Caenorhabditis elegans: one gene and its partner. The protein of the gene in region 1 purifies or fractionates together with the protein of each later gene. This does not show direct contact. Each region holds a gene or a part of one and is shown on either strand. Other genes may lie near its edges. The genes, in order: vgln-1 and aak-2.

Evidence for each region.
Region 2: the proteins of vgln-1 (region 1) and aak-2 fractionate together in Caenorhabditis elegans (co-fractionation; one large-scale study listed by BioGRID). This does not show direct contact.

Annotation. Positions count from the first base shown.
Region 1 is NC_003280.10:9,884,497-9,895,477, forward strand, and holds vgln-1 (K Homology domain-containing protein), read right to left. Parts: upstream 6,586-10,981; 5' UTR 6,446-6,585; coding exon 6,427-6,445; intron 6,381-6,426; coding exon 6,111-6,380; intron 6,064-6,110; coding exon 4,673-6,063; intron 4,624-4,672; coding exon 3,457-4,623; intron 3,407-3,456; coding exon 2,789-3,406; intron 2,744-2,788; coding exon 2,546-2,743; 3' UTR 2,048-2,545; downstream 1-2,047. Other genes in the region: algn-8 (Dolichyl pyrophosphate Glc1Man9GlcNAc2 alpha-1,3-glucosyltransferase), read right to left, coding at 1-105, 155-260, 306-559, 610-742, 813-1,028, 1,525-1,621, 1,665-1,807, 1,850-1,942; C08H9.16 (Protein FRA10AC1 homolog), read left to right, coding at 8,293-8,743, 8,791-8,936, 8,986-9,217, 9,721-9,842.
Region 2 is NC_003284.9:16,791,470-16,803,498, forward strand, and holds aak-2 (5'-AMP-activated protein kinase catalytic subunit alpha-2), read left to right. Parts: upstream 1-4,619; coding exon 4,620-4,762; intron 4,763-5,645; exon of another isoform or gene 5,646-5,705; intron 5,706-8,237; coding exon 8,238-8,401; intron 8,402-8,576; coding exon 8,577-9,045; intron 9,046-9,219; coding exon 9,220-9,338; intron 9,339-9,563; coding exon 9,564-9,669; intron 9,670-9,758; coding exon 9,759-9,864; intron 9,865-9,913; coding exon 9,914-10,121; intron 10,122-10,222; coding exon 10,223-10,534; intron 10,535-10,944; coding exon 10,945-11,096; intron 11,097-11,279; coding exon 11,280-11,381; 3' UTR 11,382-11,922; downstream 11,923-12,029. Other genes in the region: got-1.2 (Aspartate aminotransferase, cytoplasmic), read right to left, coding at 56-204, 254-562, 610-980, 1,246-1,643; Degenerin mec-4, read right to left, coding at 11,923-12,029. UniProt on the Caenorhabditis elegans protein: Acts as a sensor that couples lifespan to information about energy levels and insulin-like signals. Role in motility and response to oxidative stress. Involved in the establishment of germline stem cell (GSC) quiescence during dauer development.

The DNA of each region.
Region 1 (10,981 bases):
TCATTGGTACCGTAACCAGGATTATCGCCTTTTCGTGGACGTGATATCCGAAATAGAAGAAGCAGAAGGCGGAAAAGACGGCGAACAACGAGAAATCGGCAGAATCTGAAAATAAAGATAATTTCAAAGCCAGAAGGATCAGAATGGATCTTGCCTTTCCTACGAATCACCAACCCAGTGAGAACTATCATTGAGGAGATGACAACAAGGCAGAGTGTTCCCATGGGTGATACATTTGGTAGGACACTGTGCGAATATTCCTGAATAGTACACATTACGGGAAAAAATAATTTTAAAAAAATCACCTGAACCAGACCAGACGTATATGTCGGAGCATCAAACTTTCCGATCTTGAGCAAACTTAAAACTCTATACAGGCATAAGTCTGCGAAATTGTACAGAGCCCAAAAATTAGGCGCCCAGTAGGCGTGTGTTAGGCCTCGCGATACCGGAAAGAGGCGGGTGGCAATATTTTGAAGGCCCTGGACTCCTGAGGCGTGGATAAATGGGAAAATTGATGCACAAAATGGAATGAGCAGAGCAATGGCGAGAGAAATTGCTGAAAATATTCAATTTTGATTCTTATATAAAATTATTCGTGTGTCAAACCTTTTGGCGTATTGGCCAGAAGAACATTTCCAGAGAATTGAAAATAATTGACTAAATAGTAGAAAACGTATCCGAGGGCGTAATAGACGTAGATGTGCTTGAAATTCAGCAAAATTGAGTAGGAAAGTGCTGCCTGAAAAATACAATTATTACAAAATGTTTGAAAGTTTTAATTTTTTATCTTAAAAGTTAAATATTCTTACCATCAGATATCTTTCCGTATCGATAAAAAACAGAGACATCAAAAAAATCGCAGTGAGCATCGAATTGTATTGAAAATGAATTGAATCACAAATAATTAAGGCTTGTAATGATGCCAGAAGCACGAAACAAGCTTCTCGTCCATTTTGTTGCAATTTCTTCGGAATTCTGCTGACTAGACGTGGAGAGCGGAAGGAGTATAGAGCGCAGACAGCAATCTGAATAATTCTAGATTTTTGATATTTATAGTTTTTTTTTAATTTAAAGAAGTCAAGATTTTTTGTTCTATAAATTATATTATTCAGAAACGAAATTTAGGGTTTTTGCGGAAAGGTGACGGTCCTTCTTGACGCGAAAATTGGTTGCAAAATGCAAACGGCCGTGCGCCTTTAAAGAGTACTGTAGTTCCAAACTTTCGTTGCTGAGGATTTTTAAAAAATTGTTTTTCGCTATTTAAAAAAATATTTATTTATTGAAAAATTAATGTGAAACAATTAAAAACACATAAATTTAAACAAATTGTGGGAAAAACTTTGAAAATTCGATGAAAATACCTTAGCAACAAAAGTTTGTAATTATAGTACTCTTTAAAGGCGCTTATATTTTACAAAACAGGGTCGTGGCGAGACCCAATATCGTATTATTGGCACAAAATTCACGAAAATTCGCGTCTGGCTTGAGCTACCAAACTTTTTGAATTTTTAAACAACTCACATACAAAATATCGCAGAAAATTACTGAAAATCGCTGGAAAATCAAAATTCGTCGAGAAAACCGCGGAGTCTTTGATATCACCAAACATTCATCGAATCTAAAAACTGAATAAATTCGCCCGAGAAAATTCCAATTGTTACCCAAAAAAGTGCGCAACAGACGCAAGACCCAATTCGAAATATGCGAAAAACGGAGGATAATCGAGTGTCCATTCAGATGTTGCTTCTGTATACCATTCACACAATGGCCGTTGCCACGTCACAGCCATCCAATTACGATGAACCTGTATGGAGTACTTGGGAAACAGTGTTCAACTCCAATTTACCTCGAAATCTGTAGATACATAAGCAGGAATCAGCAAACATTTGAAGGATATTAGGATCGCTGTCACAGCCAGGACCAGCTGCACTTCGCCCATGCTTCTAGGAACATGAATATTGGATCTATCTGTATTTGTTGGAAAGCGGTAATAACAAGAATTCTCACATGTACATTTAGCCTACATCATTATACATTGTTTTGATTACACCAATTCAGTTTATTATAATGAAAATTATAATAAAAAATATGTATGATAAAACCAACGTCAAGTGGTGAAAACGGATGGATTGGGGTCGGATAAAACCTTTTGGGGGGAAGTTTACATCGAGTAAAGAAGTTGGAAAAAAAAGAAAGAAAACGAGCAACAAACGAAAACGTGTAGAGTGGGGATAACAGGATAAAAGCCCGAAAAGAGTGGGGGAAAACCATGAACAATAAATTATTACTAGACTGGAACGGGTGGAGAGGAAAGGCACATTCGACTGATTAGATTATCCGCAATAGTTTGTTGGTGGTAACGCGTTGGGGGACATAAATATTAAACAAAAAAGAGTAGATGGGAGGGCATTTATATCAACAAGAAAAAACTAATAAATACACTTTTTAAGGGGTGATGGGGCTGATTTAAGGAATTCACAAGAAGGAAAGCAGGTGACTATGGTTATTGACGTTGGTTGAATCATCCAGATTCGAACGTTCTTTACCAACGACGAGAGGATCCCCAAGCACCGGCTCCTCCGACGGCAGCAGATGATCCGGCTGCTGGTCCCATGTCTGGGAATTGCTCAGAGCTTCCCAAATCCAATTGCCATGGTGCTCCCTTCATCTGGACAGACGTTGGTTGCTGATGGTGACGGGTATTGTTCGACTCTTGTTGGCGTGGAGACATGTATTGGGTCTGTAACAATGAAATAAGAATTCAGAAACAAATTTCTAAACTAACTCTCTCGACGTTGTCAAGCAAGAACTCCTCTTCCTCAGCGCGCAAATGATCGATACAATCATACACGTCATTTTCATCTTTTCCTGCAACGACAACCAAGTTTGGATCTTCTGCTCCTTGACGTGGAAGACGAATTTCGACACGATAGTCTTCCATGACCTTTTTCAAGTTCTTTCCTCTTTGTCCAATAAGACGTGGATGATATCTGGCATCAAGGCTAATTTCTTGAGTGAACATAGATCTCAGCTCAGAAATCATCTCTTCGATGGCAGCGGCGCATTCGTTAGCCTTCTCCTCGTATCCTTGAATGGTAATCGTTTCGTTTCCATCCTCTCGTGGTACATTGATGATAACACCGTACTTTTCCTTGAGAGCAGTGATGGTGGCTCCACGTTGTCCAATAATCTTCTGATGATAATCAGTTGGAACATTGATGGACATTGACCATTGCTTGAGCTTGCGGTCTTCGGCTTGAGCCTCGTATTCGCCAAGTTTTCCACGGAGAGCCTCAAGAGCTTGATCGACATTTTCAGTCTGACCAGTCACGGTGATATCCTCGCTGGAGTTGTCCTTTGGAATAGAGATGTTGACATCATAGTCTTGCATAAGCTTGCGAACCTGAAACATTTAACTCATTAAACTTTGATTCAAAAACTAAAAAAACTAACGGTCTCTCCTCCACGACCAATAATCGAGCGGTGCATGTCAACTGGAAGTTGAATGACTTTCGAGATAGGAACCATGGCAAGAAGAGCCTCCTTGGCTTCCTCGACTTTGGTGTCACGGCCTGACACAGTAACTTGATCGGATCCTTCTGAGCCTTCCTCGCGATTGTTGGGGAATCTAATGGAGACATTGTACTTTGACTGGAGCTCGTGGATCTTTGCTCCGCGTCCGGCAAGAAGTCCCCGATGGAACTGAGCTGGGATGGTGACATTGTCTGTGATCTGTTTCTCGTAGTCCTCAACGACATCTTCAATACGGTTCTTCGCAGCCTCAACACATTGCTTCGATCCACGGATAGAAACTTCACTGCTGTCAGTTCCATTCTTTGGGAATGAAATGACTACTCCACCGTTCTGTTCCTGGATCTCCTTAACGAGTGCAGCTCCACGGGCGAGGAAGTTTTTGTAGTATTTTGGATCTACAGTAATCTTGATGTCAACAGTCTCTGAAAGTTGCTTGATAGCGTCTTCAAGAGCAGCCTTAGCCTTTGGCACGTCTTCTTTCTTTCCGAGCAAATGGATCGTCTCCTTCTCAGCATCTCCTTCCTTCGGGAACATAACTCTGACGTTGAGGGTGTCACGGAGTTTGGCAATCTTGGATCCACCTTTTCCAATGAGGAAACGATGAAACTCTGGCTTAGCCTTGACGGTATCTTCAACATAATTTTCTTCTTTGTCCTTTGCAAGAGCAGAAAGAAGTCCAACAGCCTTTGCAACATCTCCAGCAGGTCCACGGATGGTAACTTTGGTTGATTCGCTTTTCTCTGATGGGAAACGAATATGAACTCCACCGCACTCGTCCTCAATGTCCGAGATCAAACGACGTCCATTTCCAAAGAATCGAGATTGGACTTTCTGTGGAATTTCAATACTTTCTTCAGCAACGTTGGCGAGTTCCTCTTGAATTTTGTTCAGCTGAGCGACCGCTTTCTCCACATTGGCTTGCTTTCCAGTGACAGTGATTTTTCCATCGTCAGATCCACTCTCTGGGAGATCAATGCGGGTCTCGGTTTCGTCACGAAGCTTGCGAATGCTGGCTCCTCCCTTTCCGACAATATGCTTCAAAAACTCTTTGAAGATTGCAACAGTTTGTTGGTAGTTGTTCTCAGCCTGAAATGAAAATTCATTAAAATCGTCTAATAATGTGTTTTCAACTTACATATTCCTTAGAAAGAGCGGTGAGCTTCTTGTAGACAGCATCAACCTCAGTCTTGTCTCCACGGATGTTAACAACGTCAGACTTCGACTTGGCATCAGGGAACACAACCGATACATTTGGATGAGAATCGCGAATGACTTGAACTCCGGAGCCTTTCGATCCAATAATAAGCTTGTGGAGACGTTGTGGAATGATGATATCACGCGACTTTTCGTTCTCAATCTTTGTGACAATTGCCCGAATTTCGGTAACAGCCTTCTTCACACCTTCCTTCTTTCCTTCAACAACAATCTCGTCAGAGTTGGTTTCCTCGTTAGGGATAGTAATCTGAACACCATGTTGATCCTTGATTTTTGAGATGAGTGATCCACCACGTCCAATAACATGACGATGAAGTGTTGGATGAACTTTGACTTTCTCGATAGCGAGCTCCATTTGAAGACGAGCAACTTCCTTGCTGAGTGGCTCGAAAGCTAGCTTAACTTCTTCTGGAGATCCCTCGAGGAAAATCTGGTTAGAGTTATCAAATTCGATCTGCACGTTATTGCGGTTTGGCACGAGAGCGGTAAGAGTTGCTCCTTTTGGTCCGATCAAATGCTTGTGGAGCCAGTTTGGAGCAGAAATAGATTGGGTGACCACAGATGAAGCACGCTCAATGACAAGAGCCAGAGCCTTGGCAAGATCTTGAGCGTTTCCGATAAGTGTGACTTGGTCAGATCCCGAATCTTCTGCTGGTACTTCAACAACGCATCCTGTTTTCTGAAGAACATCATGAATTCCGCTTCGAGATTGTCCAACAATGTAACGATGTTGGGTGCGAGCAACTGCAACTTGAATGCTCGAAACATTTTTCTTCGACTCGATGATCTGGCGAATTTCAGCAGCAACACGTAGAACTCCATCCTTTTCTCCGGTTACCGAAATAACTTCGTTCGTTACGTGTGGTGGTGGAATGTTAATTTTGACACCATTGTTTTGAGTAAGGCGATCATATGTCTCATTTTTTGGGCCACGAACAAATGCAACCAAATTTTTTGGGCAGACGATATGCTCTGTGGCGAGTTTGGCTTCGCGCTCAGAAACGGCCAAAATGTGAGCAGCAGCACGTTGAATTCCCTCGCGTGGTCCAGTGATAGTGATCTTCGACGATGGTCCATCGCGATTTGGGATTTGAATTCTACAATTAGTTTCTGCCTCGAGATTTCTGAGAAGAGCTCCCTCCTTTCCAATGAGACGTCCGTGATGATCTTTTGGGATATCGATTTCACGAGATGCCTGGGTTTGGAGATCGCGGATGATGCGAGCACGAGCTTCTTCAGCCTTTGCGCGCTCTCCCTTCACCACGACAGTGAGTTCTCCGTCCTTTGACTCACTGAGTTCAATTCTGGTCTCTGAAAGCGGAGATGATTAGATTTTCGTTGGAATTGGGAAAACTCACTAGTAGCAGTGGCAATAGCCTGGGCTTTCTTTGATTCTTCTGACGTGCTTCCAAAGCTCTTCACCTTGTTGGAACGCTCGTCCGAGGCCAAACGGAAAGTGATGTTAACTTCAGATTTCGAGAGAGTCGGGCGAGACCAGACGTGAGTCTGTTTGGCGGTTGGAGCAGATGCAGGGGCAGCGTCAGGAAGGGTTGGGAAATCTGAAGCATAGCTGAAGCTCATGACAGCTCCGCCAGTGGCTGGGTCGATTTCGACATTATTAGTCTCTTCTGAAACAAAAAAACTTGAAGATATATTTTTTTAATTTTAACCAACCAATATGTCCGTTGTCCATAATTCGTGTTGTCAGAAGGGTTGGCTGATCCGTGTCCGGGGGTCCGTGCGCAAGGCAATTAATCCGATCGGGGGAGTCTGTTGAGGCGACCTGTGATGTTGACCGAACTAGGCTCGAGAACCGTCCGAATCAAACAATACCTACAAAAAAGAAGATAACTATTTGTTCAAAGTCATATGGAGCAAAAAAGATAGAGGAAGAAAGGAGAATTGGAAAAGATAAATTGAAATTTTGCGAGGCTTACGAATCGAAATCTGACCACAATTAAGAATTATTATTTTAGTATTATTAAAGAAGAGGCAAGTCGACGTGTATTTTTCAAAAGGAGTTCTGAACAGCTAGAAGGTATGATTCACGAAATTATTTTTGTCATTGAAAGGCAAGGTATATTCGAAAACCGAAGTCGAAAATCCTAAGCAGTGGTATGAATTTAGCCCAATAGGTCAGGGCCGAATCGTATTACGATCAGACTCTCTCTTTCTCTCTCTCGCAGGGCAAACACCACGTATACACAAATCGGCCAACTACACAGTAAAGATGGCAGTAGGATAGTTCCTCCTCGCATAGTTCCCCGTTGGAACGTAGAACACTCTTTCTCTGCGTCTCTTGCATTTCTTGAACGATGGACAACGTGGCGGTGCTGGTCTTGTGCCGCTCTTTTTTTTTAAAGTTCCCTAGTTTCACTAGCGTCTCGAGAAGTGTGGCAAAAACATTAAGGAATTCGGAAAAGGGTTATTAAAACCAGAAAGAAATCAGAATTGAACGCTATTCATAATTTTTGTAAAATAACGCTAAAAAAAGAAACTTGAACTAAATGAAGGAGCGAAAGAAACAACTATTAAGAAATAAGAAATCTGACAAATTGCTAATCGGGAAATGCAAGAAGGATGATTATAGTTGCTAGGTCAGGGCCGTTCCATCAACTATCTTCTTTTTCCATCCACCTCAAATGAAATAGATAAAATCAGCCGCAGCTAGCACCGCCACTAGCCTGCGATAGGGATCATGTACCCAATTTTGAGTGATAGATACACGTAATTGCACCTTAAAACTTATTGACATTCAATTGATGGACACCAGTTAGATAGAAAAACGAGCCACAAAAATGTCGGGCTACTACTGATAAGATGGCAGTGATAGACTGAGTTGAGTTGTATGGCAAGAACAATCATAAAAATAATAATGAAAACGAGAGGGTCACAAACTGCAAACATGGCAACTGAGGATTAGAGTTTGAAAAAAGTTTCCTCGCGGGAATCTCATTTATTTAATACTCCTAGATTTCAATTAATTTATTCATAGAAGACAAATTTAAATTGGGAAAAACCTAGACATTTACCGAGAATTAATTCGCATCGCAGGATAAATTTTTTGTCATGTTTCTAACTATGATTTTCTCAGAAAGAACATATAGCGTGAAACAAGATAAAAAATGATTTTTTAGAAAGGAGAAGCCTACAAAATATGTCTATCGAAAAAACGGTTTTCAAACTCACGACGCAACGACTAAGGGACCTAAAACAAGGTTTCAATGCACAGATATTCCGAATAATCATAACGAATTTTAAAAATAAAATCTAAAATTATCGCAAAAATGCAAAAAAAATATCCAGAAACAAGTTTTTTCAGAGCAAACGAACTTGCAGTGTGGCAACTGGTTCGGAGACGCGTCGGGGTACGGTAACACTCGTTTCAGCTGTGTCAATTTTTTAAAACTTGTTTTTTGTGTTTTAATTGGTTAAAACATGTTTTTGGCGTTTTAATTTAGGAAATTATTGAAAATAATTACCAAAAATGCTATAAACATATCATTTGCATTAATTTAAGTTTTTTCAGTTAAATATTCAATGGATCCCCGTAAAATTCGAAACCCATACCATGGAATTGACGATTTACAATCAGATTTTGGAGATGAGCCTTCAAGTAGCTCTAAACCGAAGAGAAAAGGAGATTTTTTGAATAAAGATTATTCGAGTGAAATTCTGAAAAAGCGAAAGACTGATGGACGAGGTGGTTTTGAAGAAGAGCACGGAAGAATGCATAGAAGAATGGCAAAAATGATGTCTATGAACGCGTATGATCGACATAAGGAAATGATCAATTTATATTATCTTTCATACCCGGGAGCTACGAAATTGTTAAATCGGAAAATTCAAGACGAAACAACTGACCTGGATGTCCTTAAAAAGCATCACAGATTTGTTTGGAGTGAGGACGATGAAATTAACGCTTCACAACCTGATAAAAATTCATGGGAAACGAGAATGGCGAAGAAATATTACGATAAATTATTTAAAGGTAAAATATGAGATTAATGATTCTAAATTAATGTTTGTTTATTTCAGAGTATTGCATAGTTGATCTCTCCATGTACAAAACGAACAAAATAGGTATGCGATGGCGAACTGAAAATGAAGTAAAAGAAGGAAAAGGACAACTATCGTGTGGAGCAAGAAAATGTAATGAAACTGCTCATTTATCTAGTTGGGAGGTGAGATTTTCCTTAAAGATTTCTATAATAATAAATAAAAGTATCTTAGGTTAACTTCACTTACAAGGAAGACAATCGGGTCAAAAGTACGCTGGTGAAGGCGAGATTATGCCCAAAATGCTCGGAAAAGCTCAACTACGGAACACGTAAACGACAAGTTGTTCAGAAGAAACGAGCAGTTCGGAAATGGGAAAAAGAACGGAAACGAACTAAAAAGGATGAGGAAGAAGATGATGACGTAGAATTGAATCAACATGAAGCGAAAAATCAAGAAACCAAAGGTGCAATATTATTTAAAACAAAATTTTAAAAATAATCTAAAATAAACTAAAATTTGCATAGAATTATAATTTAAGTTGAAACCTCAATTCTTGTCAGAAAAGTACCGTAATCAGGAGATAAACCTTAAACACAAAACAAGTTTTGAAAATTTCATGTTTCAAAATGTTTTAGAAAATCCATAAATTATGAACAATATGTCTGAAAAAACGAACTTTTTTTTTAAATTTTGGGCGAAAAATGTTGTTTCTGGTAAAAAATTGTTTTCAGAAATATATATTTAAAACAAAACTTCCAGAATTTTCGCCTTTTCCTAGGAATTGAAATCTAGTCTAGTCTGCAAAAATTCATTTTTGAGCAATTTCGCGGAACTCTACAGTAGTTAAAGAAATAAACTGAAAGTTTTGTAAAGTTTCCAGAATGACTTTTTTCAAGTTCTCTCGATTTTCGTCCATTATAAAAATTATACCTTCACCATCAAAATACTAAAACATTTTTTTTTCAGTTCAACCATCAACGTCCACACTGTCTGCATCAACTGATATTTGGGAAGGACCGCCTCCTGCTGAAACAGAGAAAACCGTCGACGACGAGATTGACGAGTTTTTGGATGATCTCTTTTTGTAATTCATAATTATAATAATAAAATGCCTATCAATAACTTTGTGACTTTTTGTTCAACATCACAATCATTTTTAAGGGAAAAAACTTGCGTCAACTTCGAGTTCTCTTTGTGCAAAGTACCACACGAGCGCATAAAATTTAAATGGCCTCCGCGAATTATTTTTGATTTTCTGTGACAAAATGATTTAATAGGTGGTATAAAAACAAACAACGCGTTTCAACATTCTTTACTTTCAACATTTCTTTCATTTAATTTTAAAGTATTCCGCTTCAAGTGTGCAAAAGATCAGTAAATTGAAGTTGTAGTCTGAAATAAATCCGTTTTACATTGCAACCGATTCATGGGATTATGTATCCCTTGCCTGGCAAAACTTTCATTTTTTAGAATTTATTTTTTACTTTATAGAAAAAATAATAATGTAATAACAACATTTTAAAGTAAATACATTTTATTTTCATTAAGCTTGTTAATTCTTAGCAAACATACAGGTACAGACTCTCGACTATTTCTAAATATAAATTGAAGTTCCTATAGAATTTCCTAAAATTAACTATTAACATAACATTTATAATTATTCATTCTCTTTTATTAAAATTTTTGCGAAAAACTGGGTTCTAACGCGAACGAAAATTTTCAGTTACAGTACCCATTTTCGCAATTGTTACTAATTTTTTTCTGTGTATCTTTATCAATTTAGTACTATATTAAGTGTAAATCATCGAATTATAGAATATCTATCACAAATACAATAATAGAAATAAAAACATAAATGATTGAAAACCTACCGTACTCTCGGGTACTGTAGCTGAAAAGTTTTTCTGTTTTTCTCGTGTCAGGAAAAAATGAAAAAATAGTATGTACCGAGCTTATTACTGATTATTATTTTGCTCCTCGAAATTTAATATTTTTGCCAGACACCTAGTTCACTGATAGTAGGCACTTACTTTCTCCTCGACAAAACTTTTTTCTTATTCAGTTTTTGAACTCAAAATTTTGGCAATTAAATTTTGGCAATCAAATTTTGGCTCGGTGAATGATCAGAACACAAAAAAGTCGTTTAATTCATAAAAAGTGTTCTTATCAGTGTCTAGCCTTTTATTGTTTTATTACATCGCGATTTTTTAAAGCATAGAACAGAGTC
Region 2 (12,029 bases), on another chromosome or scaffold:
ACTTGAAGAGCACAAAAACTCAATTTTTCACATAAAATTCATAAATTTCAAAGCTTTAGATGTTGCTCTTCACGGCACGCACAGTCTCATCAATCGCCTTGGCGACATATTCCACGTTTTTCGTGTTAAGACCACAAATGTTGATGCGGCCGTCTCTGAGCAGGAATACTTTGTGATTGGCAATCAGGTGATCCACTTGGGCAGCTGAAAATTAAGATTGTCCTCATCAGAGTGTTAAAAAAAGCAAACTCACAAGTAAGTCCGGTGTAGCTGAACATTCCAATTTGTTGAATGATGTGATCCCAAGTTCCAGGAGTGCCAAGATCCATCAAATGGCGCAATAAGGCGGCTCTCATCTGCTTGATACGAGAAGACATCGCTTGAATAGACTGGTTCCATTGTTCACGGCGAGCTGGGGTGGTGAGCACCTTGTGCACAATTCTTGCTCCATGTGCTGGTGGATTGGACCAGTTGGCACGGATAACCAACGACATTTGAGACTGGAATCCGGCAATGACAGCTGGATTGTTGACGACGACAGTAAGGTTTCCGACACGCTCGTCTGAAATTTTGAAGTATTTTACTTTTCATCTTCTATTCAAAACTTACTGTAAAGTCCAAAGTTCTTGGCAAATGATTGGGACACAACCATCTCCATTCCCTGGTCTACAAAGTAGCGGATCGCCCAGGCGTCCGCAGCTGGATCACCAGATGCGAATCCTTGGTAAGCAATGTCAAAGAAGGTGAAGAGGTTCTTTCTCTTGATCACCTCGGCAACCAACTTCCATTGCTCCTGAGTTGGGTCCATTCCAGTTGGGTTGTGAGCACATCCGTGAAGAATGATGACAGACTTCTCTGGGGCTGACTCAAGATCGGAGAGGAACTTCTCAATGTGCACACGTTTGTTATCATAGTCCCAGAAGGTGTAGTCGGCGACGGTGGTGAAACCAGCCTTCTTGAAGACAAGCTTGTGATTTCCCCTGAAAATGATAAAAATTCATGATTTGATGAATTTCGCCCAGCATTATCAGAGGTTCAGGAAAAGTACCTTACACCTCTTTGAAAGAGCCTTGCTGAAACTCATTTTTTACCTAGATTACCTAGGTTTATGGTAATACTGCCAAGAATTGGGCGGCTATTTTAAGAAGTTGAAGTTCTGGTTGACTGCTACTCACTCTGGCCAATACAAGACTTGTTATATTTTATCAGATAAGTATGTTTGGCTCCGATTTTTCGACCACTTACCATGTTGGGTTGCTCACGTAGACGGTCTTCATGTTACACACTGAAGCAAGAAACTCGGCTCCAGCACGAAGAGCTCCGGTTCCAGAGAGACACTGTACTCCAAACGATCTTTCCTCCTTGATAGCTGGCGATTCGGCTCCGAGGACAAGCTCGGTGGCAGCCTTGCGGAAACCCTCGTGACCGAGAACTGGAAGATACTCGTGATTGAGCGAGGTGTCGTTGGCGATTTCGACTTCAGTCTCATGAACGACTGGAAGCACCCATGGCTGTCCCTCCTCTGTGCGGTAGGCTCCAATTGTCAGGTTAACTTTGACGGGAGCCGTCTCATCGAGGTACATCTTGTTCTTGTGGAACACCTCGATTGGTGGAGCAACTGGGATTCCGTCAAAGAAGGACATGTTGAGTGTTGTTTCTGGAATTAAAAAAAATCAATAAGTTTAGTTATAGAAATTGAAGAGATGAAAAGAGTGGCGGTATGCCGCAAAACGCGATAATGAGGTGTATTTATATAGCGAAAGAGATCAAAATCGAAAAATGACCACGTTAAAAGGAGGTCACCTCATCGACATTCGAGAGGATTTACTTGGAAACAAAAAACGTTTTAGGTGTTTCCAATAAAAATCGATTTGATGATAAAAATTATTATACGATAAGAAACGTAAAACTTTCTACTTTCTTATTTTAGCACTCAAGAAATCAACAGAAACGTGTGTTGATAAGACTACGGGCCCAGTTTCAAGACTGAACTAGATGGTTACTTTCTATTGCACCAAAGTCGACAGTTCACAACAAAAGTTACAGGAAATTTTGCCTAGTTTTCGGACAAATTGAGGAAAGGGGGTCTCAAAAACGGACTGCCTCTTCTCGACAACTCTTTCTCGTCGGCCCGCCCTCCAATAAGCACACACTATTTCCGAGAAAACAACACATGCGGGTAGAAAACGAGAGGCAGCGTTGTTGTTTGCCAGAGACGTTTTTCGAGACGTGACCATTTTGAAAATTTTTATTTCGAGGAAAACGTGATGGCAAGGTGGAGAGAACGGGCAAAACGCAGCGCAATGAGATCGAAATGTGTCATTTGTGAGGGTTTCAAAGTGTTCTTTGATAAGGCAAATTACTTTTTTGAAAATTGAAAAAAAAGATTGGATATTTATCTAGGTTAATGTAATAAGATCCTAGGAATAAATGAAATTATATCAAAATTCCCTCACCAAAAATGAAAAACTATTTTTTTTTTTGAAATTTTCTAGTGGAAGTTTTCTTCTGTTTTTGCCTATAGAAAAACCTTGAAAGAGCTGATTTTTTCAAAATCCCTTTACAAAAGGAATCAAGGTTAACCTATACAACTACCTCGTGAACTTCAAAGATTCAAAAACCAAACGACCACTTCAAAAATTATTGGCAAAATGACCTTTTGAAATGAGTGATGGTGCGAAACCGCCTAGATAAATAAATATAACAATCTCACGTGGCCAGGCGGAAAAACATGTTTATGTAAATTTTCGAAACGAAAAATAATCGGTTTTCTTTTTGGGGTGATGATGGCGGGACATGATGAAAAGAAATGGAACAGTATACACGAGAAAATCCAAGTTGCTGGGTATTTAGAAATATGGATGAGAACTAAACAACATTCCGCCCGGTAAACGCCTTTGAATGAATGAGAAGTAAAAATGAAAAAAAATCACAGAAAAATATTCACCGTAATGAGAATTTGCATACAAGATTTCCGGTAGAAAGAAGGGTGAGAGAAGAGGTAAAGAAAAAGGCGATAAGAGGCGCCTCCGGGCCGCCTTAAAGCCTCAATTCTACGTGGCGAAGTTCTCAACAAAGTTTTGTAAAATTTACGACAACTAAAAATTTTTTCAGCACATTCTGATTTATTATTTTAGTCACCGACTTTAATGGGTGGCCTTTAATGATTTTGAAGTTAATTTGAAAATTTTTAAAATCAATAAAGATGAACATGGACATGGATTTTTCACAAAACTAACAATTAAGAGGCAACAAAAACAAACATAATGATAGTTGTTAGAAAAATGGAAATTGAACAAAAATTTCAAAAACAAAGAAAGCAAGTCAACAAGTGTCTAACGAAGAAGTAAACTTTTCTCATCACTTGGACGCCGAGTGTGCTCAAAACCATTGTGCTCCGAAATATGACACTTTTCAACTCGTCCCATCGTTCAAAGTTATTATTCCCTCTCATTTTTTTTCCCGCGCTCTCGTTGGCTCTCGTATCATGAGCTCTCGTTGACAAGTAACTTTTAAGTTTCAAAATTTATCTATAGTTGTTAAAGTATAATGTTTTCCTAGAAGCTGTAAGCTTGGCAGGTGACTTTCCCTGCGGGAATTGCGAAAAAAATAGAGACTGAATAAAACGCATATACTGTTTCATATTGTCTGGCACGTGCCTTGTGGCAGGAGGTATACCAATACACTGCCCCGTTCTGATCCGATTACTTTGACAAAAGTCGCCGAGTCTGATACTCACAAACAGTAGCGTCAAGTGAGGAGGGCTCACTTTACCAGAATTTATTATGAATGTTTCTGGTATCATCACATTGTTTCAACTTTCCACGCGCTGTTACATTGCGTTTTGAATCGATTTTTTGGTATTCTGCCAAATATAGCTTCAGTGCGTTGCACTCGAGCATCTGAACATATTTGCTTTTTGTTTGGCGAGAGGAAGGAAAAAGCACTGAAAAGTGCTTAAAAATCGTTTTGAAATAAGGATTAGTAACTGGATTAGAGCTAGAGCATTAAGTGATATTAGGCAATTTTTGTTATTTCTAAAAATATGGAACTATGCGGGTGGAATTTTTTGTTCACATGAACGTGTCAAAAAAATTGTTAATGTTCATACCCTCATTTACATTTCCACTTTTATGGCATTTTGGAAAAAGATGGCTATATTCGCCCTGTTAGTTTTAGAAAACCTTTTCCACTAGATATTGAAATTTCGAAGTGAAGTTTTCGCTTTCATCAAACATTCTTCGAGAGCTAGCTTCAATTGTTCTCCTTCATTTTTTCTATTGCTTTATGTTGCATTGAATAGCTAAAAAAAAATTCAAAAAGCTATCCCTTCAAAAAAAGAAAATTCGCTGCTTCTCGACGTGAAAAACAATGAAAAAAGTGTTCGGTGAGTACTTGTTCTATTTACACAGCAAACCTTTTTAGCAGCCGAGCTGTTAGAAAAACCAAAAAACGCCACCAAAATATGCTTATTCACATTTTCCGTCATCACCATCGCCGCCGATTTCTGCGCATGACAAAGTGGCTTTTCTCTCTTTTTTTGGATTTCAAGGTCTAACATTGCCGTTCTAATGCCCGTTTTTTAGGTTACATTTCAAAATAACCGACTATTTTCAGAAATGTTTTCTCATCAAGATCGAGACCGCGATAGGAAGGAGGACGGTGGTGGAGACGGTACTGAGATGAAATCCAAGAGTCGGAGTCAGCCAAGTGGACTTAATCGCGTGAAAAATCTTTCAAGAAAGCTATCGGCAAAGTCAAGGTTAGTTTTTGAGGGGTTTTCGGGGGGTCAAGGGAAGTCAAAAACCGCAATTCTAAAATTTTGCGATGGGTAGCCACAGAAGGGATGTTCTTTTCATTTGAAAATGTGAAAAAGATTAATTTTTTTTAAAACCACACTGATGAGTTTAGTGAAAAAATTAAACATGCTTCTAGCGCCTCAGCTAATCAACTCAGATTTTCCGTACAAATTACTTTAGTATTACGAAATATTGAAAAATTCATCGGCCCTCAGCAAATTAGATTCCAATTCGGGAAAATACTGAATTTTCCCTGAATTCCGTGTTTTGTCTGTGTGAATTAAAGATTGTTCACATTTAAAATAACGTACCAAGGTTTTTTTTTGAAAACTTTCTAGATCACTAGTTTTTGAAAGACTAAATATTAATTTTCAGCAACTTTTTGTAAACGCCCATTACGATTAGCAAAACAGAAAAAGATAACAGCAAAAATGTTCAATGCAAAAACAAAAGAAAAGAGACTGGAGCCTTAATGCAAAACGAACAATGTGGGGGCCCTTCCCGAATAAGTGAGCCGCGCGGAACGCTGCCGCCCTCCACTAAACAACGCGCGGTACGATACTCCGTTCATCGGACCAACTTCCCCCCTCTTTACCTAGTTGGCAACATTTTCTTCGTATTCTCACGGATTCTCCTCATTCATTCCGCTTTCAAACCCAATTTCCGTGCATTTAGCATTGGAAAAACACGTGCCGCAACGTATCCGAAAATAGTGTGAGACGCAGACGGCTGGCGCCCCGCGTGAGGCGACCAAAAGGCTTTTCTTCTTTTTGTCCTCCGTTGAAAATCATGGTAAATTGAGTGATCTCGTTTGCGTATTTGTGTGTATGAGAGAGTGTGAGTGTGTGTGTGTGTGTGTGTGGACACGCCAAAGCTTGATGGAGTCACATGTATATCATGAAAAACACAAACAGATACCACACCAACGAATCTTGAACCTTGAGTTCTTCCGCCAGTGTTCATTTTTAACATCTCTTCATCGTTCTGCAAGGAGACCTGTCAAAATTTCCAACAAAAAAAAGAGTTTCCCATAAATTAGGAAAATTCTGATAGGTTCGGAAGTTTTCCGTGAAGTAACTGAATATATTTTCAATGATCACGAGAAGGCAATTGAATAAATGTTAGTTGGAAAATTTTTATTGAGCTTCTAGATTTTGTTGTCTAATATTTGAGCCTCAAACTTTTAATATAGGTTATTATTTTTTATTGCAGCCGACAATTTTTTGTGGCAATTTATATACAAAAGCATAAATATCTGAGATGCTTAGTTTCATAGAAATTCAGTTCAAGAGGCTTCACCGTATAATATAATATATTCTTGCTGAAACTACAGGAAAATTTAGTGGGAACTTGTGAAATTTGAAAGCTCCCAGATTCGATTTTGTCATTCTTTTATGCAATGCAAAAATTATTTTTAAAAAACTGTTTTCGACATTTTCTCATGATTTGTGAAAAAGTTTTTTTCTCAAATAGAAGTTAAGCTCATTTTTCTAAATAGTTTTTCTAAACCCTGGATTGTCTCAAATCCGCTGTAGAAAAGTTGAAGCGACTGACATCTTATGAGCTAAATTTTTCCTGAGTTTTTGAAATAGACTACATCTTGATAATTGAACATTACAGTTTGACAAAATTTATAAAAATATTGATCAGTTGGATTTTATTATTTTTCTGTTGTTTTGTTCTAGCTCCAGTAGGGTGGATATTTTTCAAAAATCTCAAATTTTTGTGCAACTTCTATTAGTACAAATATAAAAATATTTCAAACGTGCACTTTTTGAACATGGACATACGTTAAATTTCCAATATAAAGGGCAAACTTTCAGCTGAGTTAGGAGAATATGAGCAGCTGTTAATCACATAAATCTAACAAAAAAACCACATGTTCCAACTTAAAATTGATTTCAAAATTTTGTGGCCAAAATGAAACCCTACGATGTCAGCCGAGTTTACTTTTTCAAAGTGCAGTTAGAAAAATTGTCTCAATTTTTTATCAGTGGAAACGTTTTTGGTAGTCTCACTAATTTTAAAGTTTAACTCGTTTTAGTAGAAGTCATTTAAAAAATTCAAAAATTGCGGTGTAACAGTTCTTTTAATACTTTTTCAAATGCCATAAATCGTCTGTAATTAATTTTCTACCAACTTGACAATTTCAATTAGTAAAATCACAGTTTTAATGCATAACTTTTTGATGCTAGTCGTATCAAATTGTGATTATTGTTGTTATCTTCACCACTTATATTACGAGTGTATCAAATTTCGATGACACAATACGGCTATTATTCATTGAGCGCTTGTGTTTTCTCTATCGTCTCCACTGTCTGACCTTCGATGATGTTTTTCTACATGTTTTTTTGTTCTCTCAAAATAGATGTTTCAGTTCCTCCAACCTTTTGAAAATCTGTAATTGGTGTTGATTTTGGAACCTTTCCTATTGTCTCTTCTACCATTCATATCCGGCACATTTATGTCAAAACACTGACTGCACCTGCTGTTTTTGAAATTTAGTGTCTGGTGTCTGGGCGGCAGTCATAAGACCTGATGGGCATACGGTTTTCCTAGAGACTCCTACTGCAATGGTCATTCTGTGATAAGAAGTTGCTTTTTTGTTTATCCATTCAAAATTACCATCCAAAAACCACACCAGTTATCAATTTTTAAGTCTTTGAGACCCGTAAAATCAATCAATCATGTCCACATTGCACTTTTGCCTGTAGAAAAACGCGATTTTCGGTTTTCAATCTTATCTCATTTCTGGTTTTCGTTCCCATTTGACTACTTGTTGTCAATTTTTTAGGTTAGGTCTAAATAAATATTAAAGATTTTTTAAAAATTTAAATGAAAGTTCAATTTCTTCTTTCTATTTTTTTGTTCCTACCTACCAACGCTGTTTGCGCCGGAGGACGATAGACATAAGGAAACGAACACACGGGATGCCTTTCCCTTCTATTTTTCTCCTCTTTTTCTCTATCTCTCGCCATTGCTTTGTGCTGTATGGTCAACTCTCGTTGTCTTCGCTGTGCGTGTGTGTTTGTCTGTTGTTAGAAAACGAGGAAAATTGTGAGAAAGAGTGAGCGAGGAAGATCGAGAGAGAAGAGTGTGCGTGTGAGAGGTGTAGGGGTCGCGAGAGTGTGCGGGAGGTTGGCGGACCTTTTACCACATTTTCGGCCAAAGGAAAAAAGGCATCGATCTTTGTTGGTTGTAGTTCTAGACATTTTTTGTTTCTGCTATGTTCTCAAAACACCAAAACTTGTTCTTAGATTTCTGATCTTTGAAAAATACATGCTCTTTATACACTTGTTTTTCTCGTTGTTTTGCTATTTGCAGGAGGTTCCTCGTGACTGTATTTATTGATTTTTTAACTGAACAATTATTCTGAGGAACTTGTGAATTCGAGATTTTACTTACGATCATTTACCTACCAACAACGTACGTTTTCAGAAAGGAACGCAAGGACCGCGATAGCACAGACAACAGTTCGAAAATGTCGTCTCCAGGAGGAGAAACGTCGACGAAGCAGCAACAAGAGCTCAAAGCTCAAATCAAAATCGGACATTACATTCTCAAGGAGACACTCGGAGTTGGTACTTTTGGTAAAGTAAAAGGTAAGCTACAACACCTTAAAATTCAACCAAACCGGAAAGTTAGAAACTTTTTCATTTGCTGCAACTTCCTGGCAACACCATAAGCTGCCAAATTGTTGCAAAAATTTTGTCCCAATCTGCCAAATACTGACATATTTATCTTTCTTTTCTGTTCATCTAGTTTTCACATTTTCAGTTGGAATCCATGAGACAACTCAATACAAAGTGGCTGTCAAGATTCTGAACCGTCAGAAGATCAAGTCACTGGATGTCGTTGGAAAGATTCGCCGCGAAATCCAAAACCTCTCGCTCTTCCGCCATCCGCATATCATCCGCCTCTACCAAGTCATCAGTACACCTTCTGACATTTTCATGATTATGGAGCACGTTTCCGGCGGGGAGCTCTTTGACTACATTGTTAAGCACGGACGGCTGAAGACCGCAGAAGCTCGTCGCTTCTTTCAACAAATCATTTCCGGCGTTGACTACTGTCATCGTCATATGGTTGTCCATAGAGATTTGAAGCCAGAGAATTTGTTGCTCGATGAGCAGAACAATGTGAAGATTGCGGACTTTGGACTTTCAAATATTATGACGGATGGTGACTTCTTACGCACCAGCTGCGGATCGCCAAATTATGCTGCCCCTGAGGTTATTAGCGGAAAGTGAGTGATTATGGTGGTCTCCTGATCATGGTTCAATGTAAAATAAAAACCAAATTAGAACTGAATAACAAAACATGAAACATGTGTTCGCAAACACCAAGACGACATTTTGCACTAGTAGAAATCCAATTAAAGTAATTGAACAAGATTAGACACAACAACTTTGTTTTGCAGGTTGTACGCAGGTCCCGAAGTTGATGTATGGTCGTGTGGAGTCATTTTGTATGCACTTCTTTGTGGAACCCTGCCATTTGATGATGAGCACGTGCCAAGTCTTTTCAGAAAAATTAAATGTACGTTAGTGTGACATGAGAATCAAAACACAAAAATGGCAAAGGATTACGACAACATACCAATTTCATTTAGACATATGAAAGCGAAATGGGATTTGAAAATTGAAATATCCCTATTACAAAAGGCACTATTACTATGTTTTGGCGCACTGCCCGGGTGATAAATGTTTGAAATTTAAATTGGAATCATTAAAAATTATAACGTTCACGAAATATGTTTTTTAGCTGGCGTATTCCCAACTCCAGACTTTCTGGAGCGCCCAATTGTAAATCTGCTTCACCATATGCTCTGCGTAGACCCGATGAAGAGGGCCACCATCAAGGACGTCATGTAAGTGGTCTTCTAAAAAGAAAAAAAAAACAAACATCGTTGCTATGAGACGCCAAGGAAACAAGACAATAACTGCTTTATATTTTCAGTGCTCACGAGTGGTTCCAGAAGGATTTGCCGAACTACTTGTTCCCACCAATCAACGAGAGTGAGGCTTCCATTGTTGATATTGAGGCTGTCCGAGAGGTCACTGAGGTATTAATCGTGTTCGATAGGAGCAGAAGTTTCTAATCACAATGAAAAGTTTCAGCGCTATCATGTCGCCGAAGAGGAAGTCACCTCAGCATTGCTGGGAGATGATCCACATCACCATTTGTCGATTGCATATAACTTGATTGTTGATAACAAGAGAATTGCCGATGAGACTGCCAAGTTGTCAATTGAGGAGTTTTATCAAGTGACGCCGAATAAGGGACCTGGACCAGTTCATCGCCATCCAGAGCGCATTGCAGGTAGGAGAGGGTGCATAGAAAAACTCTTGGTGGCAAAGAATAATAAAACTTTTGCATCGAACATGAAATTCGTAAAACAATATCTAAATCTTCAATTTCAGCGTCAGTCAGCAGCAAGATCACACCAACTCTCGACAACACGGAAGCCAGTGGCGCGAACCGCAACAAACGTGCCAAGTGGCATCTGGGTATCCGATCCCAAAGTCGTCCGGAAGACATCATGTTCGAGGTGTTCCGTGCGATGAAGCAGCTGGACATGGAGTGGAAGGTGCTCAACCCATATCATGTGATTGTTCGTCGCAAGCCTGATGCACCCGCTGCCGACCCGCCAAAGATGTCGTTGCAGTTGTACCAAGTGGATCAGAGAAGTTACTTGTTGGATTTCAAGAGTTTGGCCGACGAGGAGTCTGGATGTAAGGGTTTTCTTTGTTTAGATTGAACTTTTTGAAAGTGGAACCTGTTTAAAATATTTAGTTAATCGTTCTAGAAAATACTAGAAAATACAAGTTAGTGCATTTTTTTAAACTAAAATCACAATTTGAATTTGAAAAGCCGTAGAATAATATTTTGCAATGGTCTCTGAACATGCCCCTCTATAACCTAAGTTTCTGCATGTAGTCTAGCTTAACGTGTCACAATAATTTTGTTCAGAAATGTTTAAAACGAAGTTTGCTTTGCAGTTGGAAAAATAAAAAGGTCAATGGAAATTCTTTTTCAATAGCGTCAAGTCTTCTCAAGACGATTTTTTTTGTATGCATTTTTTCCTAATGGGTCAAATGAATATATAATTTCCACCTCAACCAATATTCATTAAAAATTTCAGCCGCCAGTGCATCTTCATCCCGACACGCATCAATGTCTATGCCGCAGAAGCCGGCCGGAATTCGTGGAACTAGAACGTCAAGCATGCCACAGGCGATGAGTATGGAGGCGAGTATTGAGAAAATGGAAGTGCATGATTTTTCGGACATGTCGGTGAGAATTAATATTTTTCTTTTATTTCAATATTTTTATTGTGAAGTATTACAAATAACTGGAATTGTATTTGGAGTGGTTGATATAGTTATAGGTTTTTTAAAAATCTTCGAGTGACAAGAAGTTGATGCCACTACCTTTAAATAATTAACGCACTAATTTTCAATGACCGAGTATTTTCAGTGCGATGTGACACCACCACCATCTCCTGGAGGAGCTAAGCTTTCCCAGACTATGCAATTCTTTGAGATTTGCGCCGCATTGATTGGAACACTGGCTCGTTAAGCACTCCTTGATGCCAACAATGCTCTGTGTAAAATTCAACTTTTCTGTCTCAAAATTTATTTCTTCCATTCCTTGTATTAAGCTTGAAACCCCCGTTTCTTATATTGGTTCACTTTGTTGCAGCTTACAGTATCTTTGTATTTTTTTTCTTGACTCTGTTTGGTTTTGCCCCTCCCCCCTTCACCTCCGTAAATGCCACGTATTTTAATTGATGCTATTCTAGTGCCGCTTTCATTTTCAGCCAATTTTGACAAGTAACCATACAAATAATTATTTAAAGTTATGACTTGACTTGTCACCCCCTTTGTTTCTGTGAATAGATTTTCCTTCAGCGAGTGATTGTTTCTGTTTTTTATATGTTTCTCTTCAGTAGTTTTTTTTTCTGTCTTTTAAACTCCCCTTCTCCTACTTCTTTGTGTCTATTGTAAGTAAAATATTAATTGAATAATTTCCTACCCAAAATTATTCAATTATTCTCATGTAAATTTTTATTTTAAGACACAACATTGCAATGGTAACTTTAAAACAAGAAAAAACAAATTCAGAAAGATCCAGACGCAATTTTCTTTGCCTTCTCAGCCTTCTTCTTTTTGTACAGAGAGTAGTTATGTTCGGCACTCATGTAGGCAGTTTCCAAGAAAAGGAACA